Saccharomyces cerevisiae S288C: one gene and its partners. Changing the gene in region 2 together with the main gene of any one other region gives a genetic interaction. Each region holds a gene or a part of one and is shown on either strand. Other genes may lie near its edges.

Evidence for each region.
Region 1: mutations in OCA2 (region 2) and RPS30A together harm fitness more than expected from each alone (negative genetic interaction), as found in Saccharomyces cerevisiae (2 studies listed by BioGRID).
Region 3: mutations in OCA2 (region 2) and MPH1 together harm fitness more than expected from each alone (negative genetic interaction), as found in Saccharomyces cerevisiae (2 studies listed by BioGRID).
Region 4: mutations in OCA2 (region 2) and SNO1 together harm fitness more than expected from each alone (negative genetic interaction), as found in Saccharomyces cerevisiae (2 studies listed by BioGRID).

What each region holds. Positions count from the first base shown.
Region 1 is NC_001144.5:709,742-717,221, forward strand, and holds RPS30A (40S ribosomal protein eS30 RPS30A), read right to left. Parts: upstream 3,418-7,480; coding exon 3,415-3,417; intron 2,985-3,414; coding exon 2,796-2,984; downstream 1-2,795. Other genes in the region: CTS1 (chitinase), read right to left, coding at 1-395; YLR287C (uncharacterized protein), read right to left, coding at 1,250-2,317; MEC3 (Mec3p), read right to left, coding at 3,739-5,163; GTPase GUF1, read left to right, coding at 5,348-7,285; ubiquinone biosynthesis protein COQ11, read right to left, coding at 7,404-7,480.
Region 2 is NC_001146.8:515,589-522,697, reverse strand, and holds OCA2 (Oca2p), read right to left. Parts: upstream 5,450-7,109; coding exon 4,856-5,449; downstream 1-4,855. Other genes in the region: YNL054W-A (gag protein), read right to left, coding at 1,920-3,242; porin POR1, read left to right, coding at 3,853-4,704; YNL058C (uncharacterized protein), read left to right, coding at 5,985-6,935. UniProt on the Saccharomyces cerevisiae protein: Required for normal growth in the presence of linoleic acid hydroperoxide (LoaOOH).
Region 3 is NC_001141.2:354,456-364,370, forward strand, and holds MPH1 (3'-5' DNA helicase), read right to left. Parts: upstream 5,942-9,915; coding exon 2,960-5,941; downstream 1-2,959. Other genes in the region: YIL001W (uncharacterized protein), read left to right, coding at 1-1,026; SGN1 (Sgn1p), read right to left, coding at 1,688-2,440; AIM21 (Aim21p), read left to right, coding at 6,430-8,469; DJP1 (Djp1p), read left to right, coding at 8,766-9,915. UniProt on the Saccharomyces cerevisiae protein: ATP-dependent DNA helicase involved in DNA damage repair by homologous recombination and in genome maintenance. Capable of unwinding D-loops. Plays a role in limiting crossover recombinants during mitotic DNA double-strand break (DSB) repair.
Region 4 is NC_001145.3:455,242-462,389, reverse strand, and holds SNO1 (putative pyridoxal 5'-phosphate synthase), read left to right. Parts: upstream 1-4,430; coding exon 4,431-5,105; downstream 5,106-7,148. Other genes in the region: ATP25 (Atp25p), read left to right, coding at 1-1,619; putative GTPase MTG1, read left to right, coding at 1,863-2,966; pyridoxine biosynthesis protein SNZ1, read right to left, coding at 3,089-3,982; CTF13 (Ctf13p), read right to left, coding at 5,129-6,565; snoRNA-binding rRNA-processing protein UTP15, read right to left, coding at 6,834-7,148. UniProt on the Saccharomyces cerevisiae protein: Catalyzes the hydrolysis of glutamine to glutamate and ammonia as part of the biosynthesis of pyridoxal 5'-phosphate. The resulting ammonia molecule is channeled to the active site of a SNZ isoform.

The DNA of each region.
Region 1 (7,480 bases), on a different chromosome or scaffold from region 2:
GTATCCCATAAAGTTTGTGCAAAAGTTTCCGCTTGAGAATCATCTGAAAAGAGGTAGCTACCAGATGCACCACCTAATGATAATAGAACTTTCTTTCCTAGGGACTGGCAAGTTTCAATATCTTCAGCAATCTGGGTGCAGTGAAGTAAGCCATCAGAAAAAGTATCAGAGCATGCGTTGGCAAAGTTCAAACCAAGGGTTGGAAATTGGTTCAAGAAAGATAATAGGAAAATATCAGCATCAGAAGATTCACAGTAAGTAGCTAAGGATTCTTGCGTTCCTGCTGAGTTTTGACCCCAATAAACAGCAATATTTGTGTTAGCAGACCTATCAAAGGCATCGGTTGGCAGTAGTAAGAATTGTGTGAATAGAAGAATGATGTAAAGGAGTGACATTCTATTATTAATTATTTTATATTTAAATTAGAATTTCAATGTATTGGAAAAAGAGTGGTTTTAAAAAAGGTAGGTTGTGAAACGAGCGACAGTTATTATTTTTGGATATAAAAAGGTTCAAAGGAATGACAGGTTTATTTTTTTTATGTTATTGAGTCTTAAATGAGTGAAAGATCTTCAATGTTATGAAAAAACTTGACTGATATAATCTTAATGTAATGTATTGTTGTTGTCCATTCTATAAATTATACAAGGAAAGGTAAGTGAGACGTTTTTCCTCCATCCAAGGACCTAATACCTGCATCTTTTTATATCTTTGACCAATGCCTATGAAGCCAAATACTTCCGTCCATATTAGTTTTTTTTTGTTCCTTGAATCCTGCACCGAACCATCGAGGGGCTTAGTTCTTACACCAATGCTAATGTTTACTCAACATCTGAAACACATAAACAAATAAACAAACACCAAACATTGCACGTTAGAAACTCATATTTACTCGCACATATCTGTTAAGGCGAGGCTGGTTATTTTTTCAAGGGACCAGCATTTCCAATTTTTCACCAGCGGCAAAGAAAAATACCAACAAGCAGGAATCACACCCACGCATCTCATTTTGCGTTACTATGACAACTACAAAATTTGAATTTGTTAACGAGAATGACGTATATAAGTTCGATTTTGTTGAGGATATCCCACATATTCCCACCAACCAACCACTATATTAATGGACATGGTTTTTGCCGTGACCGTGGATCTCGCAGCTACACAATGATATCTCTTGTATCCGTTTTAGCATGAATTTCTAAACAAGACTGATTATATACCATGCACTGTAACATTCAGAGAAAATATACTAAAACAATTCATTGAATTTTATCTCCCATGTGTCAATCCATTTCTTTCTTTTTGGATCACCTTCATATAGTTTACTCATTTGGATAAGAACTTTTTTAGTTACTGCAACTAATGCAGCCTGTTCTTCTTTTACCTCCTCATTGGTAAAGTTCTTCGGCTCAAATTGTACAGTGGATACCACTTCATCCAAAAGTAACTGTATTTCCTTCAGATATGTATGTATACTGTCTAAAGTTTCTGCTTGATTCCTCTTAGGAGTAAAATCTTTTGACACCAGAGTTTTCCTGAAAGTTGATACAAGTAATTTGATTAGCTTTATCTTCCTCGTAAACCCATCGAAAAACAACTTTATATTTTCATAGACCTTTTCCTGGTCAAATTCCTCTTTCTGTGAATCAGATTCGGATTCTGAATCCTCAAAATCCAAAAATATATCGTCCGAGTTTGCTGAAAAATCGGGTTCCTCAAGCCACTCTTTTATTTCATTCATTGTATCGTCCATTATGGCCACATTATCTTTTAAGATGTTTGCTAGGATCCCATAAGGTCCAGCCTTGGAACAATTAGAGAGAGAATCGCACGCATTGAATATTTTACCAACTGAGGTTAACCTTTCTTTGTCTAGAGATGCATTTTCGTCATTTTTCAATCTTTCTTGTAATTCGGCAATGAAATCTCTCAAGCCATCGAGCAATTGTAGCGTACTTTCATCCAGTTGGTCTGTAAAGTATTTGGGGCAATCCTTGTTATTGTAAAACAAAGGGAATAAACTTAGTAAGTAGAATAATGGCCTACTAAAATTTTGGATTTCGGTAATCACAACTTTATGATTGTTATCAAAAGTTCCTGGCTTGCAAACAATACCTATTTTTGTGCAATGTGCCTTCAATACAGAGGCTAATTTGTCTAGTTCCTTAGTTGGGGTGGAACCTTGTAGTTTGGTAGTAGAGGAGATTTTACGCAAGTCTTCCGGCTTTTTGTATGGCACTAAAAACTGTTCATCTATAGAATTCAGCAGTTCCAATAATTTGACGTCATCCTTTCTATCACTGCTTCCAGTAGACATTATTGTATAACTGGTATTTCTCTTATAAAGTTTATAATAGGCGTCTCTGGTGATGCTTGTTGACCTCAATGGATTTTGTTAAAAGGAGGCTTCATGTCATCGTCAAGATCATTGCAGTTTTTTTCTAGTTTTTTTTTTTTCATTGCCACATTATGAAGCGCCCATTCAAAAACAACTAGAAAAACGTTTGCCAACCCTAGGTACGGCAAGATCCTCCTTATTAATAAAAGCATCACACCAAGACAGCAAAGAAGTAAATCGATAATATGAATAGCATAATTTTGCGAAGTTAAAGTCCTAAAGAAATAATTTATAGTTAACACTACTTACATAATTTCAATACTGCTTTATATTTAAAGTAAAAAACGCATAACGGAAATACAAATACAAGTCAAAAACTATCTTGAAGTAAAGATGGCATGACTGCTATTTTGTTTCTTGTTACTTTTAAGCTCCTTTTCCACAACTGTTAATTTTCTTATTGGACGGATGGACCTGGGTTCATTCTTCTCTTACCGTTAACCAAGGTAACGTTAACGAATCTTCTGGTGTACAATAATCTTTTGTAAGCACGACCCTTAGGCTTCTTTGGCTTTTCGGTTTTTTCAACCTTTGGTGTTTGAGACTTGACTTTACCAGCACGAGCTAGAGAACCATGAACTTTAGCCTAAATAAATAATATTAATATTAAAAATTAATGACCATGTTAGTATAGTGAATTTTTGAATTATTTGGCGTATCAGCAAGGATGCTAAAAATAAACTTCACTCTGCTATTTTCTCAAAGCCTTTTTAACTCTCCGTCAAAAAATGTTGTTATTAAACTCGACATTATGTTAAGTCCACGCTGTTGCCCTCGAAAAATCTGTGTCAAGCAATTACGTTTTTGATGTAACAGAACTCAAATTTAAAAAGTTTCCTATCATATTCTCAGGGTGGAGCCAGTTTAAAGATATATTGCGTTTTATTTCTTTTTCTGCGGTATATATAGATATGAAACACCAGTAATATATTCAAATTAGCTATTTCTTGTTATTCATTCCTCGCTGAAACGTCCATTTTTTTCATATTTTAAAATCCTAATGAGGCATTACGTACCATATTTGCGTAGTTTTTGTATGGGGATATGGAAGATTATTACAGTGGCAAATTTAATGTGCAGTTCATGTAGCCTTTAAAATGCAACATACCGTTCGTAAGGCTGTTTTGTTCTATCTATTTTTTCTGAGGTTTCCGACAACCTCACGACATTTTTTTTTTTCGAACGGAAAAAAGAAAAGCAGTTAGTATGTAAAGCACGGATTTTTTTATACATATGTACGGATGTGATAGTCTGCAACTCTGCAACTCTGCAGTTCTCAGCCATGTCAGATTTAAAGAGTTTCCTTAGCAACGTAGCAAAGAAATGTACCGCTGTAGGGTTTACAAGCCCTTCGATCTTGCTATATAATATATGATTTGTCCTCTTTCCCTTGGTTTTTCCACATCTTCGCTATCTTCCAAGCTACCACGATCCAACGAACAGTGGAATACGCAGGATTCGTCGTGAGAAATCGCCAAAACAACTTCTTCAAATGCAGCGTATAACTTGGAACACACCTTCCAATCTTTGCAACGGATGATTACTTCATGTGTGGACGAACTTTCCTGTTCAGCCTTTTCCACCATAACGGATATGTCATTAAATTCAGTATCACCGCTAGTATCAGCTGTGTAAATGTTTCCCCGCGTATCTGCGATCGAGCTATCCTCAATTCTTAATAAATCTTCATCGTAGCGGATATTTTCTTCCATCTCTCGATCTCTAGTATTGGTATATAGTGAAGACATCGGTTTATCCGCTTCGATAATCGGAAGAGATCCTTCCTCCTGCCGGCCGTCTGTGTCGATGTGCTGGTTTTGGGAAGGATTGTCAGTGAGCCCTTCTTGGCGTTGTATCACAGAGTCTAAGGGTCCATTCCAGCATATTTCCAAATGCCAATCTAATTCATTCACAATTATCTTAAGTTCTACATCATCACCTTCATTTCCATGCTCCTTTTTTTTGACTCCCATTAAATGAATGTGGTTGACATTACTGTACCGTTCAACACGTCTAATAAACCCGTGGAAGGCGGAGCCAAACTCGCCCGATATTGGTGGCAGCTTGTACATCATCAGTTGAATATAGTTAATCATTGGCTCTTGTATTCGCGTATCTTGTGCTCGGAATAATAGTTTGACAGGTACTTTGAACGAATGCATGATAACCTTATTGCTTGCGAGTAGATTTCCTGTGCCTACTGTGGTTGGTAAACCATTGTGCTCATCCACTCCCCCATTCATAACTATAGCGTCATTTGGGCCGCTAGTATGTACAATTTCTTCGAATGTTATACCTAGAGCACAAATGGGGTTCGGTTTTGAGGTTGTATCTACGCCTCCTGCTGTTCCTCCTGAAAGTGTTCCGTTATTTGTATTCCATTCTGGCATTGACTGTAGTTTTATAGTCATATTAGAGGAAGATCCTTGGTTCATTACTCGATCATACCTTTTAAACACACTCAATAAAGAATCACAATTACACTCCATTGTTATTGTATTGAGCTCGCGAGCTGATATAACTGTATATAATCTGAATACATCATGAGGAATGGTACACCAAAGCTGACCAGTATCCCCTCGTAATATTGTACCGTTGTTACTGCTGTTGAGTGATGATTTTGGAGTGGATATTATTGTCAATCTTTCACTATTAAATCTTAAGATAGCCGTCTTTCGTAGCGAAGCAACTGTATTGATAGTAGTTCTTAGCAATTTATAATCATCAGGTGCTTCACAACCATTTACTATCAATTTTAATTTCATTTAACTGAATTAAGACACACCTTTTGTCTTCTTTTTTCTCTCATCATCTCCGTATGTTTATGTTGCTATTTTGATGTAAATAAAAAAGTTGAATAATAGACGAGGGCAAGTATAACTCGCCTATATTTGTAGCCGCAACCATTGAAAAAGAGCCATGAATATGGGAAACTAGTTGCACATAAAAATGCTGAAATTTAGAATTAGGCCAGTGAGACATATACGGTGTTATAAACGACACGCATATTTCTTACGATATAACCATACGACTACCCCTGCACAGAAGTTACAAGCACAGATCGAGCAAATACCTCTCGAAAATTACAGAAATTTCTCTATAGTTGCCCATGTTGACCATGGGAAGTCAACCTTAAGTGACAGACTGCTGGAAATAACGCATGTCATCGATCCCAATGCGAGAAATAAACAAGTTTTGGATAAATTGGAAGTCGAAAGAGAAAGAGGTATTACTATAAAGGCGCAAACATGTTCGATGTTTTATAAAGATAAGAGGACCGGAAAAAACTATCTTTTACATTTAATTGACACGCCAGGACATGTGGACTTCAGAGGTGAAGTTTCACGGTCATATGCGTCTTGTGGGGGAGCAATTCTTTTGGTTGATGCATCACAAGGCATACAAGCACAGACGGTTGCTAATTTTTATTTAGCCTTCAGTTTAGGATTGAAATTAATTCCAGTAATAAACAAAATTGATCTAAATTTTACAGATGTTAAACAGGTAAAGGATCAGATAGTGAATAACTTTGAGCTCCCCGAGGAAGATATAATCGGAGTAAGTGCTAAAACAGGATTAAATGTAGAGGAACTGTTACTACCGGCTATAATTGATCGTATACCACCACCAACGGGGAGGCCTGATAAACCCTTCAGAGCATTATTAGTGGATTCTTGGTACGACGCATACTTAGGAGCGGTTCTTCTAGTGAATATTGTTGATGGTTCTGTACGTAAAAATGACAAGGTTATTTGTGCTCAGACAAAAGAAAAATACGAAGTCAAAGATATTGGAATCATGTATCCTGACAGAACCTCTACAGGTACGCTAAAGACAGGACAGGTTGGCTATCTAGTGCTGGGAATGAAGGATTCTAAAGAAGCAAAAATTGGAGATACTATAATGCATTTAAGTAAAGTAAATGAAACGGAAGTACTTCCCGGATTTGAAGAACAAAAACCCATGGTATTTGTGGGTGCTTTCCCGGCTGATGGGATTGAATTCAAAGCCATGGATGATGATATGAGTAGACTTGTCCTCAACGATAGGTCAGTTACTTTGGAACGTGAGACCTCCAATGCTTTGGGTCAAGGTTGGAGATTGGGCTTTTTAGGATCTTTACATGCATCTGTTTTTCGTGAACGACTAGAAAAAGAGTATGGTTCGAAATTGATCATTACTCAACCCACAGTTCCTTATTTGGTGGAGTTTACCGATGGTAAGAAAAAGCTTATAACAAATCCGGATGAGTTTCCAGACGGAGCAACAAAGAGGGTGAACGTTGCTGCTTTCCATGAACCGTTTATAGAGGCAGTTATGACATTGCCCCAGGAATATTTAGGTAGTGTCATACGCTTATGCGATAGTAATAGAGGAGAACAAATTGATATAACATACCTAAACACCAATGGACAAGTGATGTTAAAATATTACCTTCCGCTATCGCATCTAGTTGATGACTTTTTTGGTAAATTAAAATCGGTGTCCAGAGGATTTGCCTCTTTAGATTATGAGGATGCTGGCTATAGAATTTCTGATGTTGTAAAACTGCAACTCTTGGTTAATGGAAATGCGATTGATGCCTTGTCAAGAGTACTTCATAAATCGGAAGTAGAGAGAGTGGGTAGAGAATGGGTGAAGAAGTTTAAAGAGTATGTTAAATCACAATTATATGAGGTCGTTATACAGGCCCGAGCTAATAACAAGATAATAGCTAGAGAAACAATTAAGGCAAGAAGAAAAGATGTTCTCCAAAAGCTGCATGCTTCTGATGTCTCACGAAGGAAAAAACTTTTGGCGAAACAGAAAGAGGGTAAAAAGCATATGAAAACTGTAGGTAATATTCAAATCAACCAAGAGGCATATCAGGCTTTTTTGCGCCGTTAGCATTGCATATTATTGTTATTACCATTTTAAAATTATACCAAGCTGTATATAGTTAAGTACTTTTCATTTGTAAATAAAAGAGAAAAATAGATTAATAAATATAATAATGGCATAATCATTATGCTTTAAGTATTTCCTCAAGTGTAACTACCCCTTTAAAATCTGGGTTTTCGATATTTTTCAGGACGGATTTGC
Region 2 (7,109 bases):
TCTCAGTCTCCTGTTCGCTTGTCTGCGGAACAGTTTTATTATTGGTACCACCCGTACTGGATATTGGTACGTTTGTATGATTAGTCTCATTGTCACTGTACGAGTCTGAGTGTCTGAAATCTTTAGATTTACTGGTGTGCGACGATTCATGTGTGTTAGATTGGGACATGGGAGCAAGTAAAGGAACATCTAATCTATGCATACCACCCGAACCAGTACTCTCGATATCGGAAATTTGGGGGGTGCTAGATCTCTTCTTTGATGGAAGGATATCAGATTTAGATATGTTGGGATCAACTTCTCTGGGTGCGCGAATATTGGTTTTAGAAACACGTTTCGAATCTTCAGTATGAGTTGACGGAGGTGTGGAATCGGTTGGACTCACAGCTTTTGAAAGGACATTTCTCGGTTGCTCAGGATGTAGTTCGATGTCAGATTGGAAGTTAAGATCATCGGATTGTTGGATCTCATTTGACGCAATGAACGATTGATATGAAGCAGTTAAACGGTTTAAGTCTTCATCGAAAGTGAGTGCGTCGTAATTGAATTGATCTAATCTGGATTCCTTGCCCTGAAGAATAACATAGTTAGTTGTATCTACTGTCTTCTTTAAGGATGGAAGATAGATGATATATCCATAAGAGTTTCGAGACGGATGTAGAGCGTAGCCTGGGATGCCACGAGGATGTATTTTGGAGTTAGGGTTGTGATCATTGACGATAACAGGTTGACCGAAAGGTAACAAAGTACTGATATCAAGTCCTGCCAAGCCAGCATGTTGTCTTGCAGATTTTTTGCTTTTAGGTGAAGCTAGTGAATTTCTCACAATAGTAGAAAATTCGATTGCAGAGAACCATAAATGGTTCGGTAAACCACTACATTGCAGTTGAGTACGGCAGTCATCTAATAAGGTACGGTTGAGCCGTTCAGCGACTCCATGTGCTCGGGAATCCGCTGTGGTTGTATAGCATGGAGTTATACCATTTTTTTCAAGGAATTTATGGAGAGTTCTGTTAGTATACTCAGAACCACGGTCCATTTGTATAACCAAGACACTGGCCTGAAACTGGTTCTTAATAAAAGCTAGTATCGTAGTAAAAACATCGAGGATAGAGTCCTCGCGACGGTCGTGTAATGGATAAACCCAACGGAATTTTGTTGTCTCATCAGTAAATGAGATGAAATAGGATGGTGCACTCTTTGGTAGGTTGTGAACTGGACCAAATATGTCAGTATGTAGGTATTGAAAGGGTTCGTATGAATTTTGGTATTTTAGTCGTGAACCTTTGATATGTCTGTGTTTGGTGCTTTTGCCGATTAAACAATCAGGACATTGATAGTCAATAGCACTAGACCAGTCGACATCTGATTCGTTAAAATACGTGATGGTGTTATTTTTAAGTGAGTATCGAATTGTCTGTGCATTGGCATGCGCAAGCATTCGATGAATGAAAGGATAAGGATATTTGCGTGTACTTTCACTTGTATGGACATTATTGATGGTGGGTACGGAGATATTTGATGGAAGCAAGTACTTTTTAGATACCCAGTAAAAGTCTCCATATTTTACGATAGGTGCAAGTACAGTGCCGTCAGATCGTTCTAAGACGTTTTTGGTAAAGCATGCTGTGATATCTACTGCAGCCAATTCATTCAAACTGAGTAAGTCATAGGCTATGTTAGGAGTGTGCAATACCTTTATTGATGTTTTGGTGTTGTCCTGGAAGTGAAATTGTAGGTCACCAATAGCGTTAATTGGTATATTTCTTTTTTGAGCATCAACTACGTTTATGTCAGGATTAGATGATGCTGAGTGTATGTGATGAGCAGATCTTATAAGGGTTCGTGATGCTCCTGAATCGAGAAGGAGGTGTCCAGGGAGTTCATCATCAGAATGATTAGTATGATTTACTGTAGATTCAGTAAGTTTCTGGCCTAAGATGAAGGTCGTGCTTATTGTTCAATTGAATCGGTTCAGTAGTTGATTTACTGATGGAATCGTTGTCCGTGCTGGGAGAGTTATTAGATGTGGATACATTGTGAGCCCTGGCTGTTTTCGATTTCGAATTATTTGTTTTTTGAGGATTCCGAGCTATAACTTTGGGTTTGGTTGTATTTGTATAGCTGCGAGAATCATTCTTCTCATCACTCGGATTTCTCCTGTAATTAGGTTTGCTGTTTCTCGATCCCTGTTGTTCTTCATAAATAGCATGGATATCTAAGAACAGTTCAGCGACTGTCATATTTAGATGTCGATGACGTGTGTAGCGTAAAAATTTATATTCGCCAGATAGACCTCTCATAATTAATTGGCATGCGACCTTGTTATTGATATGAATGCCATTATTGTTCAGTCTGTCGATAATGTTTGTGACTTTTGTTTCAAATGCATCTGCAGGTGTACTGCCATTATATTGCAAATTTGCCAGGGTCACAATGTCGTTTGCCTCTTGGGTATCAGATTGCATTTTTTCAATACTTTTGGAAAGAATTTTCATGATATCCGTATAATCAACGGATAGGATGTCTTTGACCCAGGTAGGTAGGAATTGAGATGGAGCAAATATTTGAAAAGTGTTATACAAGAAGGTGAGTTCATCATCAGTGATCTGACGTACGGGTTTTCCGTTTACTGTCGGAATAATACCACCGAGATTCGAGTTTTGTAAAAATTTGATGTATGTTTTAACCCAATTTAGAAAGTCATTAGGTGAGGTTAACATTGGTGGTGGTCTGACATATTTTTTAGTGGATGTCATATCAGAGTCCGCTGAGGATGAATCAGTAAATGTATTACCTGACTCAGGTGATGGAGTGCTCAGAGGCGTTCCAACTGATGATGGATACTGCGGAAACTGTGAATGTGGCCCAGGTGGAAAGTACATAGGCGACATTTGATAAGGTGTATACGGAATCATAGATGGGCGTCCGTAAAATGACCAATCAGATGGATTGGCTTGGTTTTGGGTCATCATGCACTGCTGTGGGTACGGCCCATTCTGTGGTGAATGTGACTGAGCAGTTTGAGGAGAGGCATGATGGGGGTTCTCTGGAACAGCTGATGAAGCAGGTGTTGTTGTCTGTTGAGAGTTAGCCTTAGTGGAAGCCTTATCATATTCTTGAATTTTGGAAGCTGAAACGTCTAACGGATCTTGATTTGTGTGGACTTCCTTAGAAGTAACCGAAGCACAGGCGCTACCATGAGAAATGGGTGAATGTTGAGATAATTGTTGGGATTCCATTGTTGATAAAGGCTATAATATTAGGTATACAGAATATACTAGAAGTTCTCCTCGAGGATTTAGGAATCCATAAAAGGAAATCTGTAATTCTACACAATTCTATAAATATTATTATCATCGTTTTATATGTTAATATTCATTGATCCTATTACATTATCAATCCTTGCGTTTCAGCTTCCACTAATTTAGATGACTATTTCTCATCATTTGCGTCATCTTCTAACACCGTATATGATAATATACTAGTAACGTAAATACTAGTTAGTAGATGATAGTTGATTTTTATTCCAACAAGTTTAATGGTCAGAATGGGCGCTTGTCGCGTGCCAGATCGGGGTTCAATTCCCCGTCGCGGAGATTTTTTGCCGCACGTTTCCGCGTCAGACGAGCTTTTTTCACGGTTCCGGTGCTTTTTGCCGGCTGCGGCCCAATCAAACACCGCCATTTCGGCCGTTCCTCAACAAAGAACCCCTTTTATAGCCAGCAGAGCACGAGTTGATCTACTATATAACTACCCCCAACTCGTTCCACTACTCATTAGTGCTACGGATTCTCCCAACACGAAACAGCCAAGCGTACCCAAAGCAAAAATCAAACCAACCTCTCAACAATGTCTCCTCCAGTTTACAGCGATATCTCCAGAAATATCAATGACCTATTGAACAAGGATTTCTATCATGCTACCCCAGCTGCCTTTGATGTGCAAACAACAACCGCCAATGGCATTAAGTTCTCATTGAAGGCTAAACAGCCTGTCAAAGACGGTCCACTGTCTACTAACGTGGAAGCAAAGTTGAATGACAAGCAAACCGGCTTGGGTCTAACTCAAGGCTGGTCTAACACAAACAACTTGCAAACCAAATTAGAGTTTGCCAACTTGACCCCTGGTCTAAAGAACGAATTGATCACTTCTTTGACTCCAGGCGTCGCCAAGTCCGCCGTCTTAAACACTACGTTCACACAACCTTTCTTCACCGCAAGAGGTGCCTTTGACTTGTGTTTGAAGTCACCAACATTTGTTGGTGACTTAACTATGGCCCACGAAGGTATTGTTGGTGGCGCAGAGTTTGGTTACGATATCAGCGCCGGTTCCATTTCTCGTTATGCCATGGCTTTAAGTTATTTCGCCAAAGACTACTCCTTGGGCGCTACATTGAACAACGAGCAAATAACTACCGTTGACTTCTTCCAAAACGTCAACGCCTTTTTACAGGTCGGTGCTAAGGCTACAATGAACTGCAAACTACCTAACTCCAATGTCAACATCGAATTCGCCACTAGATATTTGCCTGATGCATCTTCCCAAGTTAAGGCTAAGGTGTCCGATTCCGGTATTGTCACTTTGGCTTACAAGCAATTGTTAAGACCTGGCGTCACTCTGGGTGTCGGTTCCTCTTTCGATGCTTTGAAGTTGTCTGAACCTGTTCACAAGCTAGGTTGGTCTTTGTCCTTCGACGCTTGAACGTATATATCTAATATATATATGTTCACTATATACCATATATGTGCTCGTTCTTGTTTCCATTTTTCTACTTGATCTTTAGACTTGTTGTTTTATTTATACAAATATATTAATGACAGAAAATATTCTTTGTAACGGCTGGTTCTCATAATCATATTGGTTGCTTGGCAGTGAGAATAGACTCACTTCCTGACTCATCATCACTTCCTTCCGCAGCCTCTAGCTCATTCAAATACAAGCAGTGTTTAGCAAAGCCAGGGATAACGTTTCTCGGTATTTTCAGATTGGTTTCGAACATTGTGATAAACTCCAAATCTACTCCATCTTTCATCCCACCAGAAAATAACCCGTACTCTTGGCATATACCTGCAGTGGACCATCCCTGTAACAACTTTCTTATGATTCCCACAACTACACCAACACGGTGCTTGCCCTTATTGGAATGCACTAAGATGGGATAGTTTCTGACATCCAGCACCAAGTGCAAGACCTGGTTCATTCTTTCTTGAATTCCTTCATCGCGGCTTGAATCCATAAATATGTGATAGTATTTTATCTTTTCTGACTCCAGGAAGCTTTGATATTCTTCGAGAGGCCTATCTTTATCGCCAATATATATTATGGTCTTCAAGTGTAACTGATGCTTGATGAAACTATAATTTAACGGCATCGGGTATCCCGATCGATATAACGATACATCCGTGCTCACCACTGGCGAAAAATTTAATGGGGGTATGTATTTCATAGCATCAAGAAACGTGCACTCTATTGGTATTTTGCCTTCACTTGTTGATATATCAACTAGACTTTAATATCTTAAGTAAACTCTCGCTTTTTTCTGATCTTTTTTTTAATTCTGGAAAATTCAGAAGAAAAAACAAAAATTACTGAAAAATCTGGGCTAGCACCAAGAGCTATTCATGGATGAATCACTAAATGAAAAAGGGTCTTTACTTTGCATGCTACCACTCACATGAATAGTATAGGGGAACCTGGTGACAGCCTCCCTTCTCACTTTCTGCCGATTTCCAATGATCACTCTGCAGAATTCTTTCATGAAACCCTTAATATGATTTCCTAAAGCGGGAAATAGTAAACATATCATAAAACATTTGTAAAAAAAAAAAATGTATAATTAGAAATTACTAGATTTTCAATTATATTTAGCAGCTATATGGGTTAATAATTTATAATGTTTATTAATAACATACCCACACTCTTGTATTATAATCAACTAGACTCATACCTTGTCAAAAGTTCAGAAAGAAACATCGGCAGAGATGGTTAAGAAAAACTTTATCCCGTCTGTATCGCTGGTCAGAAGAGACCTTCCTACTTTAGTTACTACTACAACTAGTTCAACCGCCCTGTCAAAGCCCACGTCAAGTGTAGTGTCCGAAACGAGTTCCAAGTCCCTTCCATCGTTAACATCTTCGGCTTTCTCAACTTCCAGTGGAGCAACATCCTCCTCATCACTAATTGTCGCAAGTATAACACCCCCATCTACAGCAGGAAACCCATTTATTTTAAATGCTGCTGATAAACCAAATGGAACTGTATACATTGCTGTGGGTGCTGTCATAGGTGCCATTTTTATCAGTATTCTTATATGGTGGTTAGTGTCCAGTTATTTGTCTCGTCGTTTCACAATGACAAATTCTTATGCAAATGATAGTAAAAATTTGTACAGGGGACACCACAAGCATAGTTCTTCTTTACAAAGCAATCCCTTTGACATCAATGATGAGAAATCATATATGCAGGATGATTGGGATTCTATGAGCCAATTAGAATCTAGCCAATACGAGGATGCTGCCTCACCATTCAACCCAATTCAGGATCCGTTCACAGACAACAGAAGATCCTTATTTATATCTCCTACTTTACAAGTGTCACAATATGAAAAAAGTCATAGCCGCCATCAATCAAAAGACACTAACATTTTTATTGACGATCCATTTTTATACGTAGGTACCTATCTAGAAGAAGAAGAAGAAGAAGAAGAAGAGAGAAAGCTGAACCTCAATAGACCACAAAGAGCAGCGTCACCTGAAAGAAAGGAAAAGAAAATTAACTCAATGGAAGGCTACCATAAGAGAAACCAATCCTCCTTGGGCCTCATACCAGTCGCTTCTGCTACCTCAAATACTAGCTCTCCTAAAAAGGCTCATAAAAGACAGGCGCCATCGATGTTTTTGGATGATGTCCTGAATGGTAGAGAAATAATCTAGATACCCTGACATCTAAGATACATGGTTGTTCAGGTTAAACATTTTTTTTTTTAGTCCTTAAAAATTGTGTAATTCAGTACCAAAAAAATCGATGTTTGCTTTTATTCTTTTCAAGGCCATACGGTTCTAACGCACCAGTAATCATCAGTACATCTGCCAAGATATATCTTTATC
Region 3 (9,915 bases), on a different chromosome or scaffold from region 2:
ATATTTTTGAAATTTCTTTACTTAATTCCGATCCTGCACCAAATTGAACCGGGACAATATGAAGAACTTATAGAGCTATCTAGTAAATTTGATATTGAGTTATTGCCCGAATTTTTAGACAAAGCAAGGCATACCGCCGATCCTACGGAAAAGTCGAGGTTAATGTCAGATTACCAATATAAGTTTACCGAGGTTGCAAGAAGTCAACTTTTAATATTTGTGAACAATTGTATCTTTAGATCTACTGTTGATCTTGCTAATAGTGAACGACGAGTTTTTTCCTTGATGAACTGTCCAGCTTATCCGGATGTTCAACTTATGGTAAAAAACCGAAATGGAGCCATTCGAATATACCCTTGTCACCTGGCTGTTTTGAGCCGCGCAGAATATTTCAAGGTGATGTTCACAAACAACTTCAAGGAGAAAGTTACATATATCAAAGCCAAGCACGTTACAGGAAAGTATAATAGTATCATTCCACAGCTGACATTACCCAATTGTGAGTTTGAGGTTGCCGAAATTATTCTCCGCTACTTATATGCAGATAATACAGACATTCCTTGGATGTATGCCGTCGATGTTTTGTTACTTGCCGATATACTTTTAGAAGACCGCTTAAAAACTATCGCTTCTACAATTATAACACAATCAAAAGAGTTTATTCAGCAATACAATGTTTTTGACGTACTCTATTTATCATGGGAAATAGGAGTGGAACGCTTAGAACAATTTGCAGCTAAATTTATAGCTATACATTTGCAAGAGTTATATAAAGATCCAGAGATTAAAAGGGCAATTATGTTGAGTTCACAACGAATTTCTCTCCGCCAGGAAACTGATACTATTGAACTAGTGGATGACATTAGGTACTATTTGCTCCGAAAATATTCTTTTGAACCGGATGATGTGGAGCTGTTCGAAAACCAAGACGATTTAGAATACCTAAAACAAGTAGGGTATTTGGAGTACAGAAAAGATATGGGTATGTTAGATAATATCCTAGCTGATCTGGAACTTGATGTATAATTCCGCATTCAATAACCTTATGTATTTTTACGCGTCACTGCGAACGGATGAATATTGCCAATGACTGCTGCGCACTCTTAAAAAATATAATGACAATTATAATAAGAAGTATGATACTTTTTCTGTAAAAAATATATATACATATGATTCACGTGAAAATTTTTATATTTTTAATTAAATTTTTATAATATTATAAATTATTATAATATTGATATTTAAAATTAAAAACAAATTATTAATGGTTTTGTTTTCCGAAATGTTTTTTATAATTATTACTTCAGAATAGTTATTTTCACGAATACGAGATACAGGGTAATGAAAACAGGTGTTATCCAAAAAAAAAAATTGATATATTTTAGATACTTTACATACAGAGGCAAGCTTCAGCTGTAGCCAGGTACATAATATTCCCTATAAAGTGATCAATATTTTTTAACGAAAAATTAAAAAAAAAAATCCTTGAATAAAGGAATGAAAATATTGTAACAAGCGATGACATTTCTTTTTTTGATTGTAGTTGTGGCATTTTATATTTGCTTTTGCATTTACCCTATTCTTGAAGGTTTGGATAGACAAGCGAGATAACACCAGTTGTCCTTCAACTTATTCAAAGCAGCAGCTCACTTAATTATTATTAAGTATACACATGAAAGCCTTGTGTTTATTTCGAATCTTTTTCTTGGGTAGAACTTTTAACGTTGTCAGACGGCATGACAACAGGTTTTTGGGAAGTAGATCTAATATTTTTTGTAGAGTCTTTGGCACTGTTGAAGTGTTTTTTTTGGAAGGTTCTATTCTTGTTATTGTAAGGACTCCTATAATAATTGTTCTTATTATATCCGAAATTTTGATTTGGAGACTGATTTGGAGGGTACGGTGGGTAATAAGGGAAGGTATCGGGATTGGGGTAGGCCATTAAGGGATAATTCCATTGCCATTGTTGGAAATACTGGTTTTGCGAGTTGTAATGCCTATTAAATCCTGGAATGTTAGTTCTTTTTCTGGAGACAGCAATTTTTTTGCCTTTAAGTTCTCCTCCATTTAATTGCAGGGCTTTTTCTCTGTATGCCGGACTTTCAAATTCAATATAGCCGTAGCCTTTTGGTGTTCCCGTATTCCTATCATAAAGAAGTGTTATTCTTTTTATCTGGCCACAGTCTTTGAAATGATCTTCTATTTGCTCTGGGGTGACATCCGGAGTGATGTTACCGACAAAGATAGAACGCGAGTCAGCTTCAAGTTGATGAGCGTGTTTTTCCTCCTTGCTTAGCTTTTGCGACACCTGTGGAGTGCCCTCGATAGATAGTTTACCCACAAGTTCATCCAGCTCGAGCTCTTGCTTGTCGTTCTTTTTATTGTTCGAAATTTCAGTCTTTAAGGTTGCCTTAGCATCCACTTTCTCTTCCTGGGACATAACAGCAATTGCAAATGATGACACTATGTGACAGCAGATATATGTTTATGTTAATAGGCCTGGTTGGAGAGCGAAAGTTGAGATTACTTACTTAATCAAAATTAAATTTGAAATTTGCTGCATTTTAAGGTTACTTTTCGGAGTGTAGGAAATTGTTGCGGTTTTTTTTCACCTAACGAATGATTGATAATCTTTTTCATATCCTCCAAGAAACAAGCTGTTTATTATGGTGATTGCCACAAATTGAAGCGCTATGCTTAGTGCTTCATGACAGAAAGGTTTTGCATTGGTAGGCGTGGAAGATTACAGATTGTACTCGTCGTTGGCTCAATTTTTATATTTTGTTGCTTCAAAAACAGTGCCGTATCCTTAATGAATGAAAAATTCTAAAGAAAATAAGTTGATACTAAAAATATAATGTCCTTGAAGTATTTATGCGATATATAGAAAAATCTATAAATACTTAAATATTACAGCAGCGTTATTTTTGTATAGACGCCGACGTATAAGAGTCTCCTATCAAAAATCAGAATCTGAGCCCAGTATGTCATCTAATTCTGCGTTCGATAAGGTAAAAGATTGGGATGAATCATGGTTGACACTGTTGTTATCGACTTGACTTTTATCGTTAACTTTTACAAATTTTTTTTCGTCTCGTAACATGCCTCTCGCCAAACATTTAGTATAGTTCATATCAATTGTCCTCTTCTTATTATCATTACTCTCGTCGTTAAATAACGTAATGATTTTTGAAACTTTGTGACAATGCGGAACTTTTACCCCTTTGGTGTATTGTACAAAATTGGGCTCCACATCGAAGGAAACACCTTCTGGGATATAGCGGTTTCTGAAAAAATTCCAATCGTCCAAACTCAATACCATGTTATTCTTGTCAACAGTACAGCTCTTTTCTTTTTCAAGGTTGTGTTGATTTCCTCGGATGTCTTTCACATTTTTCTCGATTTTAGTTGGAAGACCACAATCATTCACAAATAAAGCCATATTAGGGCGTTCAAAATTATGAAGTGGCTTGAGTGTGGTAAGACTTTCGCCAGTGCGAATAATGGCAGTTTCCAAATCTTTTTGGCATCCATTCTGCCCTTCCGCAATGAAAACATTATTATCATCACTGACTTCTTCATCTTCAGTTTCTAATGAGGAGGAAGCTTCCTCGGTTGAATCATTCTCCAGATTATCCAAAGCTTTAAAAATCTTCCGCTTCTTACTTGGGTTTTCATTACTCGTTACTAGTTGTTTCCCGCCACTTTCATTCACCAAGAACTTATTAATTAAAGTGCTTGCACTAACAATACTGGTCTCAACATTATCAGGCATAAAGAACTTCTTCGGTTTTTTATTTTCCTGAACTCTCTTCTTCTTTGTTATGGCTTTTTTTGGCTTCACCTTTTTGCCCATCATACACTGAGTCGCATAACGAATAACTTCGTCAACATCTTCCATTTCATTAATTATTTCGTTTTCATCATTAATCGTGATCAATGTCTCGTGACATTCCGGAATAATGTCTTCAGGGATTATCCGATCTGATTTTTTATAGTCAATGCATTGCTTGGATATAAGCGCTTGCAGGGTTGAATAGTCTTCCATAGCACGCTCGAATTTGTATGATTCATTACTGCTAAACAGTAGTACTATCTTACCATCTCGTTTTCTGCCTGTTCTACCCATACGCTGAATATTTTTGATTGGACTACTTGTAGTATCATAACAGATTATTAAATCAACTTCTCCGATATCCAAACCTTCTTCTCCAATTGATGTACAAACGAGAACATTATATTCACCCTTTTTGAAATTATGGATAACCTCTTTTTGCATTTTTTGGTTCATTCCGCTAATCTGAGCCTCTTCAGAGCTCCCCGTTCGTCTGGCACTTCTTTCAAGTTTATCATTCGCCGCTCTCTTAGTTCGTTCAGCTTCCAAAAATTTCTCTTGCTCTTGCCTATGCAATCTCTCTACCTTCTTCCTTCCCTTTGGCGCATGTTTTCTTGTGTATTTGACCTCATCAAAACCTTCTTTTGCACGAGCTTGTCCAATAAAAATATGAGGCCTGATTTGATCGTCAGCTACCGAGTCTATGAACTTCACAATTTCAAGTGCGCTTTCTCTTAATTCTGTAAAAATAATAACCCTCGAGTCGGAACCCCTTTTCTGAAAAAAGTCCATTAGTTCATCTCTAACACATTGTAACTTCCCATGACCGACAAACTTTGGATCACTTAAATAATTTTCGCATTGATTTTTGATGTTTTTCAAAATCGGATGGTAATAAAACTCAGCTGCAATTTTATTAGTAGATTTTTTAAGATTATATTTCGTAGTGAATTCTGTACATTTATTCTGGAAGTAATTGAAAAATGTCCTTATTCCATAAATTTTTAATCTCTTTAGCATTTGACCCACATTGTTCAATAACTGTAAAATAAAGAAGTTCCTCCACTTAATTCCTTCAGGTATAGTAGGGTTAGCAATAATTTTTTGGCTTTGTTGCATGGCTTTGAAGGCGTTTATTTGTGAAGGGTCACATTCCTCATATATACCGAGTTCAATTGCCTGTTGAAGCACTGGTTTGACGGCCATACCTAATTGTTCGATTATGTCTTCAATTTCCAACAAAAGGGGCACTTCAATTTTTTCCTTTTTTCTTTTCTTCATATATTTCACGATATCCATGCTTTCTTCAGTCCTAATTTCAATCTTGGAAATATCTAAGTTATTAACCACTTCTTGGACACCTTCCAGGTCAGAGGCTGGTGTAGCGGTCAATGCTAATAATCTGTATGATGAATTGAACCTATCTATGAATTTTACCACATTTGTATACGCAGAGGAGCCAGTAGCTCTGTGAGCTTCATCGATGACAAGACATACAATATCCTTAGGATCCAATACACCCCTCTTCAAGTCATTCTCCACTACTTGCGGTGTGGCAAAGAAAACTCTCTTATTGGCCCAAATTTCTTCTCTATTTTTCCTGCTTTTATCGAGTAATATAGCAGTTTGATCCGAAGGTATTCCTGTTATACCTAAGCATGCCTTAATTTGCTGGGCTACCAAAGGTCTTGTTGGAGCAGTAAAGATTATTTTGGCTTTTTTGGTCCAACGAAAATAATTTAACATTACTGTACTGGCAATGAACGTTTTACCCATACCCGTTGGGATGGCGCATAACGTATTTTGAAACAGTGATTTGTGAACAATTGTATACTGATAATCCCTTACCTCGTAATTTGTAGGGTACACGTAGAACGACAAAGCATCGTAATCAAGCTCATGATGAGTGGGTCCAAAACTGACATCTCTTTGAATTTCTTCGTACACAGTTTTCTGCCCAGGTAAAACGTTATCATGAAGGTCTTTTTGAACTGGTACAGCACGTCTCGTTATAGTTTCCTTCACAGATTTATTGATAGCCTTTTCATACAGTTTATCCAGCTCGTCATCTTCGAAATCACTAAAGTAATCATCTGCACTAGCCATCAGAGAGAAAAAAGGACACTAAAATAAAACAGAACCGGAATGTGTTGAATAAAACTGAAGTGAGCTACTATATCTTGAATCACAATATCTTAGCTCCGTGATAGAGCATAGGGCACCTCTATTGATCTCTTCGTGATGCCCGGTTATATACACACGTAACCCCGTAAAAGCCGTTACCCGGTTTATGTCTTTCTGTGAGCACAGTAAGCTAGGAAGGTCGATGGAGAAGAAGACTCCTGTCTCATATGGAACAACCTTGCAAATTGAGTGCAATTATCCCCTTTGGAGTTTGAATTTTGTGTTAGTACATTCTCCTTTTTTAACTTGTCTTTTCTACCACATGCACAATGAAAGCAATCTTGTTTTACCAGGCGCGAAGCAAAAGAAAAGGAGAAATATTGAGTATATTTTAATTTAAGCTTTCTGATTTAGAAAGTATCATGTTTTGTTGGTGATCTAACAGGAAATCTATTTTGACCGATTATACAATGCCATCGGAAGTTACGCCAAAAGTACCTGAGAGGCCCTCAAGGAGGAAGACATCTGAGCTGTTTCCGTTATCCGGCTCTGAATCAGGAGATATTAAAGCTAATAGCGAGCCACCAACACCAGCAGGAACGCCCAATGTACCAACACGTAGACCCATACTTAAAGCAAAGACGATGACTTCGTTTGAGAGTGGTATGGATCAAGAGAGTTTGCCCAAGGTACCATTGCAGAGGCCAGTTAGACGCTCCACTACTGAAGAACTAAATAATGTAATGAATAACACCAGTAAGGAGTTAGAGGAGATTGAAAGTTTGATTTCAAAGCACAATATACACAATGTTTCCAGGAAAAAAAGTCCAACTTCTGTGGAAGAGGGAAAGGTGGCCGCCATTCATCAAAACGGGCAAAGAAGTGCATCAGATAACAAAACTTCTACAAATCCCTCCCCACTCGAAAAAAATGAGCACGAGGGTGCTGAGGGCAATGAGTCTGCTATTTCACCTTCTAATTTAGTTAACAAGTCTAATAATGAAGTGACAGAGCATAGTGACTCCGAAGACCTTACTGAAAAGCAAAAGGTACATGCTGCCCTAGATAATGAGGCAGGGGATAGAAGCCATTTTGAAGAAAAGCTCATTCCTGGAGATATGAAAGTACAGGTAGATGTTAGTAAGGACGTAGAAGAAGGCAGCCTCAATGCTCTGCCTCCATCTGGAATCACAGAATCAGACGACAAAGCTGAAAAGTTCACTAAACATCCTGAATCTAGTTTAGAAGAGCTACAGAAGCATCAAGAACAACAGGAAGAAAAAATTTTCCAAAATCCAACCGATGAAGAAAGTACTACCTCTTTGAATGAGAAACAAGAAGGCAAGGACAACATGGAAGTGAATTCTCAGCCGCAAGGACCTTCTGATACTGAAACAGTTATAGCAGCAACTAGCTCAAACGTTCCTTCACAAATTGCAAGTGAAGAGGAAAATGACGTTCCAGTGATTCCAAGGAGTAGGCCTAAGAAGGATTTTGAAGCACACGTACAAAAAGAGGAGTTGCCTAACACACAAGAGAAGCGAGTATCAGAAGAGTGTGATTCGACCCTAATTAGTACCGAAGAGGAAAGTAAAATCCCAAAAATTCCCTCTGAAAGACCAAAGAGACGTGCCCCACCTCCGGTTCCCAAAAAACCTTCTTCAAGAATTGCGGCCTTTCAAGAAATGTTACAAAAACAACAGCAACAAGATCTGCATAATAATGGTAATTCTTCAGCTACTACCGCTTCAGCAGATATTGCTAAAAAACACACAGATTCTTCTATTACTAGCGATACCACGAAGGCAGATTTTACGAGCAAATTGAATGGACTGTTTGCGCTACCTGGTATGGTGAACCCTGGACAGCTTCCACCTTCCTTGGAGAAGAAGTTGTCCTCCCCGGATACTGAATCTAAGCTAGGACCCCAGGACCAATCACAGGCAAAAACGGGACCTCTGGGCGGAACTAGAAGAGGTAGAGGACCTCGTGGGCGTAAATTACCTTCTAAAGTAGCTAGCGTAGAGAAGATTGAAGAAGATGACAACACTAATAAAATAGAAATATTTAACAATTGGAATGTTTCCTCTTCCTTCTCTAAGGAAAAAGTCTTAATAGATACTACTCCTGGTGAGCAAGCAGAAAGGGCCTTGGATGAAAAGTCAAAGAGCATTCCCGAGGAACAACGAGAACAATCTCCAAATAAGATGGAGGCTGCTCTTTGTCCTTTTGAGCTGGACGAAAAGGAAAAGTTACCTGCTAATGCTGAGTCGGATCCTCTTTCTCAGTTGCCACAGACGAACGCCGTAGGTAATAGAAAAGCCATAAGTGAGGAATCTCTGTCCCCATCGGAGGCCATCGCCAACAGAGATCAAAACGATACGACAGAAATACAGGAACAGCAGATGGAGGACCAAATGGAGGTTGATATGGAAAGAGAACTCTCAGGTGGCTACGAAGACGTTGATTCTGCCTTACATTCAGAAGAAGCGTCTTTTCACTCCCTTTAGAATCTTATAAATAATATGTATGAATAAACTCTATAGTATGTATCAAGAGAGAAATATGTGAATGACGAGCAAACTAGAGGTGTTATTAATAATAATGGCATAAAAACTAGATTTTATTCTATATATATATATATATATTTCTTCGACTTTTTTTTTTTTTACCCGCACACCCTGAATTTTGTGCTATTTTGAAGCAGAGCGTACTGAACAAATTGGCAGATTTACAAGAGGAATAACAGAGTTATGCTAAATCATTAAGTGTTTCTTGCGGCCAGAAGGGGCATTATACAAAAGATATGGTTGTTGATACTGAGTATTACGATTTGTTAGGTGTGTCTACCACTGCATCTTCCATTGAAATAAAAAAGGCCTATAGAAAGAAATCTATTCAAGAGCATCCTGATAAGAATCCCAATGACCCCACGGCTACCGAAAGGTTTCAAGCAATATCCGAAGCTTATCAAGTTTTAGGTGACGATGATCTTCGCGCAAAGTATGATAAGTATGGAAGAAAAGAAGCTATTCCTCAGGGCGGCTTTGAAGATGCAGCTGAACAGTTCTCTGTCATCTTTGGTGGAGATGCGTTTGCCTCATATATTGGCGAACTGATGCTATTAAAGAACCTACAGAAAACTGAGGAGCTAAATGCTGAAGACGAAGCTGAAAAGGAGAAGGAGAATGTGGAAACAATGGAAGAATCACCTGCAGACGGTAAGACGAATGGCACCACTAACGCTGTTGATGCAGCATTGGGCAATACTAACGAAAAAGATGACAAAAATAAGGCGAGGACAACTTCTGGTAATTTAACTGTACACGATGGAAACAAGAAAAATGAGCAGGTAGGAGCAGAAGCTAAGAAGAAGAAGACAAAATTAGAGCAGTTTGAGGAAGAACAAGAGGTAGAAAAGCAAAAAAGAGTAGACCAATTAAGCAAAACATTGATTGAAAGATTATCGATATTAACAGAAAGTGTCTATGATGATGCATGTAAAGATTCCTTTAAAAAAAAGTTCGAAGAGGAAGCCAATCTTTTAAAGATGGAATCATTTGGTCTGGACATATTACACACAATAGGCGACGTTTACTACGAAAAAGCTGAAATTTTTCTTGCATCCCAGAACCTGTTCGGAATGGGTGGTATATTTCATTCTATGAAGGCTAAAGGGGGAGTATTTATGGATACACTAAGAACTGTTTCGGCAGCCATAGACGCTCAGAATACTATGAAGGAGCTTGAAAAAATGAAAGAAGCTAGCACGAATAATGAGCCTTTGTTTGACAAAGACGGAAATGAGCAAATTAAGCCAACCACTGAGGAACTGGCGCAGCAAGAGCAGCTATTGATGGGCAAAGTATTGTCGGCTGCTTGGCATGGTTCTAAATATGAAATAACATCCACTTTACGTGGCGTTTGTAAAAAAGTACTAGAAGATGACTCGGTAA
Region 4 (7,148 bases), on a different chromosome or scaffold from region 2:
ACAATGAAAAGGAACTAATGGAAGGTAAGAAAAATAACCACCACACGATGAACAAAGAATTGGAGATACCTAAAACCTCTCCAAACTCATTAAGAAAAATAGCAGACCTCCTAACTGGTAAACTTGGTCTGGATGACTTCCTGGTTTTCGATTTACGGAAGAAAAGCCCAAACTCTGTTTCAGCCGTTAATAAGTTGGGTGACTTCATGGTCATATGTACAGCAAGATCTACCAAACATTGTCATAAAAGTTTCTTAGAGTTGAACAAGTTTTTGAAGCACGAATTCTGTAGTAGTGCATACGTTGAAGGAAACTTTAATGAGCGACAAGAAAGTAGAAGAAAAAGAAGATTAGCAAGAAAATCCAACCTTAGTAAACTATTAGGTAGAAGCTCTGAATGCTCTGCAAAAGACTTAAATAGTGAGGCTTGGTATATGATTGATTGTCGTGTCGATGGTATTTTTGTAAATATTTTGACACAGAGAAGGCGTAATGAATTGAATTTAGAAGAGCTGTATGCACCTGAAAATGAGAAATCTAAGTTCCAAAATATAGATTCAGGTAATGTCCCTACTATTTCAGGGGTAAATGAAATTTCAAGCAACAATAATATTCTTTTAGGCCTAAGAAGACTGGCCCAGCAAAGGAGAAGGTATTCAACTATCAACCCAAACGGGCTAAGTAATTTAAGATACTTTCTACAAAAGGAAGACTTCAAAGGAGCCAATAAGATAATTCAGAGTAGTAGTGGTACTGAAACTCACAATATACGTACTTTGGAGCATGTTAAAAATACTTTAAAGGATTTGGTAGGACAAGAGAGGAAAGTAGATGTTGTTCAATGGAAGTCCTTATTTGACGAACATTCAACTTTTTTAACCATAAATCAATCGGCTGCATATTGGCCACTACGACTAGAATATGCGATACTTCTAAACAAAGCAGACCCACAATTTTATTCAGATCGTGTTTTCCTCAAGGATTATCTACTTTTAAAAAAATCGTTGGGGCAAGAGTTAATAAGGGAAGATCTAATCGCTCTTTTAGAAATGGTTTTGAAAACGCAGCATTCTAGTCATTCATACTTTAACCTAGTAAAGCAAAATAGGGTGATTATCAGAGCTTTGAACCTATTTAAAGGTCTACAAACAGAGGACGATGGCTCAGTTGTTTACGATGAAGTGGTAATATCCCTTCTTTTAAATTCCATGGTCGCGGATGAACGGGTAAAATTGAGATCACTCTACGAGACAATAGACCACATTTTCCAAACATTTGGAGATAAGTTGACTTCAGGCATGATTGTCTCAATATTGCAAAACTTGGCCAAAATCAAAGACTGGAATAAGCTACTTCAAGTCTGGGAAGCTATCACACCAACGGAAGGGGAAGGTCAGGACAAAAGGCCCTGGAATGAATTTATAAATGTTATCAATCAAAGCGGTGATAGTCACGTTATATCGAAAATCGTAAATAATGGTCATTTGCTATGGATCAGACGTTTAAATGTTAACGTAACTCCGGAGTTATGCAACTCCATTAAAGCGTTATTAAAAACCGCTGGAATGGAGAATTCCACATTGGAAGAATTCCTAGTCCGTGGAACAAACAATCAATAGTATTACCTGTATATAATATCTTAATCTCTCGTCGTTCGCCTTATTTATATTTGAATCAAATATTTAATTCTGCCACATGGTAGGTTCATTTTGCCGCAGATCAAAGAACACGGACCATCATGTCAAAAGTACACAATTTTTGTCTTTTCGAAACAATTTGGTTTAGTTATTAGGAGAAGAAAGAACGAATGATAATGCTCATTACTCAGACCTGAATGCAAAAAAGCCAAATCAAATACAGAAATGCACATAAATGTGAGAGGAACTAGGAAAATAATTTCCAACGTTTCATCCTTCACACCAAGATATGAATTTCCAAAGTACAGTATGCCTCTCACTGATTTCAAGGGACACCAAGTCAAAGCTCTTAAAACATTTGAAAAGTTGCTTCCTCAAATGAATATGATAATAGAACTACGTGATATACGTGCCCCGTTATCTACAAGGAATGTGGTTTTCGATCGAATAGCAAGAAAGGAACACGATGTGATGAAATTAGTGGTATACACTAGAAAGGATCTTATGCCCGGCAATAAGCCATATATAGGAAAGTTAAAGAATTGGCATGAAGAGCTGGGAGAAAAGTTTATTTTACTGGATTGCCGAAACAAAACTGACGTCAGGAATCTACTAAAAATACTAGAATGGCAAAATTACGAACTAGAAACAAATGGCGGATATCTACCTATGGGATACCGAGCATTGATTACTGGCATGCCAAATGTTGGAAAATCTACTTTAATAAATAGCTTGAGGACAATTTTTCACAATCAAGTGAATATGGGAAGAAAATTTAAGAAAGTAGCCAAAACTGGTGCAGAAGCTGGTGTTACTAGAGCCACAAGCGAGGTTATTAGAGTAACTTCACGGAATACGGAATCAAGAAATGAAATATACTTGATAGATACTCCAGGAATCGGTGTTCCCGGTCGCGTTTCAGATCATAATAGAATGCTAGGACTGGCGTTGTGTGGTAGTGTTAAAAATAACCTTGTAGATCCAATATTTCAAGCGGATTACCTTTTATACCTAATGAACTTGCAAAATTTGAACGATGGAAGAACAGAGCTTTACCCTGGAAGCACCAATTCTCCCACAAATGATATATATGATGTTTTAAGAAGGCTTCAAGTGAATAAAAGCCAAAATGAAAAATCAACGGCTATCGAGTGGACTAACAAATGGAGGTTGCATGGAAAGGGTATCATATTTGACCCTGAGGTACTGTTGAATAATGACGAGTTTTCTTATAAAAACTATGTAAATGATCAATTGGAAAAGTTAGGAGATCTTTCGTATGAGGGATTGTCTAACAAACTAAAAGGGAACCCCAATCAAGTATTCTAGTAAATAATATCCAGCATACATAAGCTTATCTAATAATTAGATCATTTTACAATGTGTACCGAGTAATACAAAGTTGAGGGGGGAAAAAGTGTTATAATGCTCAAAATACCTGTTCAAAGAAATCACCACCCAATTTCGGAAAGTCTTACTCCATTGGAAGCATGACTAATAGATTCGATTGATACACCACCCATTAACTCTCCTAAGTCACTAGATACTTCCAACAATTTGCTGGGATTGTCAAAGTGAGTGGTAGCCTCTACTACTGCAGTGGCCAACCTTACAGGATTAGATGATTTAAAAATTCCTGAGCCAACAAACACACCATCACAACCCAACTGCATTAACAATGCGGCATCGGCTGGCGTTGCTACACCACCTGCAGCAAAATTTACTACTGGCAACTTACCTTTTTCTAAAACATCTTTCAGCAAAGAAACTGGTACCCTCATTTCCTCAGCAACTTTTGCAATGTCATCTTCGCTCTTCAATTGTTGGCACGCCTTTATCTCCTCTGTAATTCTCCTTATATGCTTGACGGCTTCAGAGACATCGCCCGTTCCAGCTTCACCCTTGGTACGAATCATAGCGGCGCCTTCATTAATTCTTCTCAAAGCTTCACCTAAGTCTTTAGCGCCACAAACAAATGGAACTTTGAATTTGTCCTTTTCAATGTGGTGAGTCCAATCAGCAGGAGTCAAGACTTCACTTTCGTCAATATAGTCAACTTCCAATGCCTCAATAATTTGAGCTTCAACAAAATGGCCAATCCTTACCTTAGCCATGACGGGAATGGAAACGGAGTTCATGATGTCCTTAATCATCTTCGGATCTGACATGCGGCAAACCTTTCCTGACTTACGCATATCTGCTGGGATGGATTCTAATGCCATTACCGCACATGCACCAGATTTTTCAGCTATTTTTGCCTGCTCTGGAGTAACAACATCCATAATAACGCCACCTTTTAACATTTGGGCGAGACCACTCTTGATCTTAAAGTCTTCTCCAGTCATCGTGATAATTAACTGAATATTAGTACTGTGTATATTTGCTAGTCGTTCCTAAAGGTTTCTCCAACAATACCATAGACTTCGTCCATAGCTCTCAGCGTCCTCCTATTTATATCGAAAATGGTACTTCGCAGCCAGAATTACAGACGTAACTAACGGTGCGGCAGAGTGTGTCAGAGTCATGAAGAAATGGCGGCGCTACCTGAAAAGTAGTGAAAAAGCCCGGCTTTCAACCCTTACCCTTGTCGGCTGAGTCATTATGTCATGATGAGCTATTCCAACTAGTGCCATAAATTCCAACTGAGTCAGTAAACGGCATTTATCAGCAATAACTGGTCACGAACTCTTTGAATGTTTTATTCTTTCTTCCAAAAATCACGTTGATGCCACCAGGTTTTTTTTTCTTATTATTTCATTTCGTTAAATAGAAAGAAAAACCATATCTTAAAGTATGCACAAAACCCACAGTACAATGTCCGGAAAGTCGATGAAAGTAATTGGGGTTTTGGCGTTGCAAGGTGCCTTTTTGGAGCATACCAACCATTTAAAAAGGTGTTTGGCTGAAAACGACTACGGAATAAAGATAGAAATCAAAACTGTAAAAACTCCTGAGGATCTAGCCCAGTGCGACGCCTTAATTATTCCCGGAGGAGAATCTACGTCGATGTCCCTCATCGCTCAAAGAACAGGCTTATATCCTTGTTTATACGAATTTGTTCATAATCCGGAAAAGGTAGTTTGGGGTACTTGTGCTGGTCTCATCTTTTTAAGCGCGCAATTAGAAAACGAAAGTGCCCTAGTAAAGACTTTAGGTGTGTTGAAGGTCGACGTGAGAAGAAACGCATTTGGAAGACAAGCTCAATCTTTTACACAAAAGTGTGATTTTTCCAATTTCATACCTGGCTGTGATAATTTTCCTGCTACATTTATTCGCGCACCCGTGATCGAGAGAATTCTTGATCCTATCGCGGTTAAAAGTTTATATGAATTGCCAGTGAATGGAAAGGATGTGGTTGTAGCTGCAACGCAAAATCATAATATCCTTGTGACTTCTTTTCATCCAGAGCTTGCTGACAGTGATACAAGATTTCATGATTGGTTTATCAGACAGTTTGTTTCTAATTAAAATACCGCCGGTTTTCCACATTTTTATATTACCAAAACCTGAGAGATTTTTTCACATCGATAAATCTCTACTCGTTTACTATCGAACAATGCTCTAGGTACGATGATATTGTTAAAAACTTCAGATACATTTTGTAGCTTGATATGGTTCAAAGTCCGAAAAGATAGCCAAACTATTGCTTGACATCGAAGGTATGTTATTTGATTAATTTCACTTTTGTCAAGCTCTTTTATTCTTGTGTGTCGTAAATTAAAAAATTTTGTGAATTTACTATCATCTTCCTTTATGTACAACGATTTAAAAGTTCTCTTATCGACTTTTAGTTCCTTTAGTATATTTTCCTCGATGTTCCACCACTTGATTTTACTTACACGTTTCATTGTCAGAGATTTAAAATTTTTGGGAAAGACAATGCTATTCAGGTCGATGTAAGCTACTCTACTTAATACAAGCTTTTGCAAGTTGTCCCATCTTGTAAAGTCAGCTAGTCCGGTTCTGGAAATTTGATTCATGCGTGATAGGCGTATTTCATTTATCCTACGTTTCACTATGTAACTAATCGTTTTACCAGGATTGTCTCTGAACCCATGAAAATTTATTAGCAACTCATATAATTTCTCTCCTCTCACAGTGATCTTCCGCAGGCTCTTCATGGATTCCATACTTCTTATTGTTCTTATAACAGAAATACTTGTTAGTTGGTTGTGCGTTGCTCCCACATTGCCATTATCTGAATGTGATCTTTTGGATGCTGACCTTTTCTTGTTTTTAATTGTGGAGCTAGGTGAGGAGTTTTCGTCAGAATTAGCTCCACTAACATCAACATCTTTCTCTTCTCCTACTTCTTCATCTTGTCCAAATTGTACCTCCCCGATTGTTGCGAATAAATCTTTCTGTTCTAAAATTGATAAGCATTTGTCTACTAGTTGTGGAGTTAGATTATCAATGTTGAATTGAATATTACTTACATTAAGTAAGTCAAGCTCGTCAAAAGCAACACTGTCTATCACCCACTTCTTGTACTCTTTAAAAGTATACCAAACTTCTAACATACTGGCCTTATTGAAGTAGGCCAGTCGAAGTTCATTATCAAGGTACGTCCATTCTAATGCATCTATAAGCGTTCCGTCATAAAGATGGTTTACTTTGAAACAGTCCAAAACCAGGCAATCATAGCGCAACCAAAATGCATACTCAAGCCATTTTTCAATGAGTTGCGGAGAGTATTCGAAAATGTTCAAATACGTGGCAAAAACAGGATACATGTATCTCAATAATTTCTTAGATCTCTTAGACCTTTTATAACTTGGTTTTCCTGGAAGCTCCACATCATTAGATTTGTATAATATATCTATTGGGTAGGGATGTGCTCCGCAAAAATTACCATCTAAATGGAAGTAAACTTCTTTTCTAATGTCAATTGGTAACTCTAAGAATCTAACAGGATTGAAAGAAGGCATCAAGCGACATGGACTTCTGGGGACTCACAGTCAGCTTTCTGTTGATAGCATCTCATCTCACAATGTTTTGTTTTCAAGCCCTCGAAGGTAGTTAAACGCGAAAACGTATCAAAATGCAAAGCACTCTAAAATGAAATTTATACAGGTTCCTTTTTTCAATAAAAAGAGAAGATATTATTTTTTTCGATTACAATGAGAAAGAGATATATATGTATGCCTGAATATCTATAAAATAGATACAAATTAAAATCTATATGCTAATATTTCCTTAACTCGTTAAAAGTTGAAGCATACCTTCAATTCTTTGAGCTTCTTTAGACTTATGAATTTCATGTCTAACTTTAGTTTTCAAATCTATCATCAATTCTTGAAGAACTGGAGAGCTTTCTAACGTATTCCCATATAATTCTAAAACCACGGCGACCCAATCCGCTACAATAGATGCTGATCTCACATCTTCAATACCTTTTAAGCACCAATTCAGTAGCGGCTCTAATGTAGATTCATCTCTACCATATAGCGCTACACGAACTTTGCCACGTTTGCGTAGTTCTTGAAGAACAGTAAGTGTCAACTCTTTGGC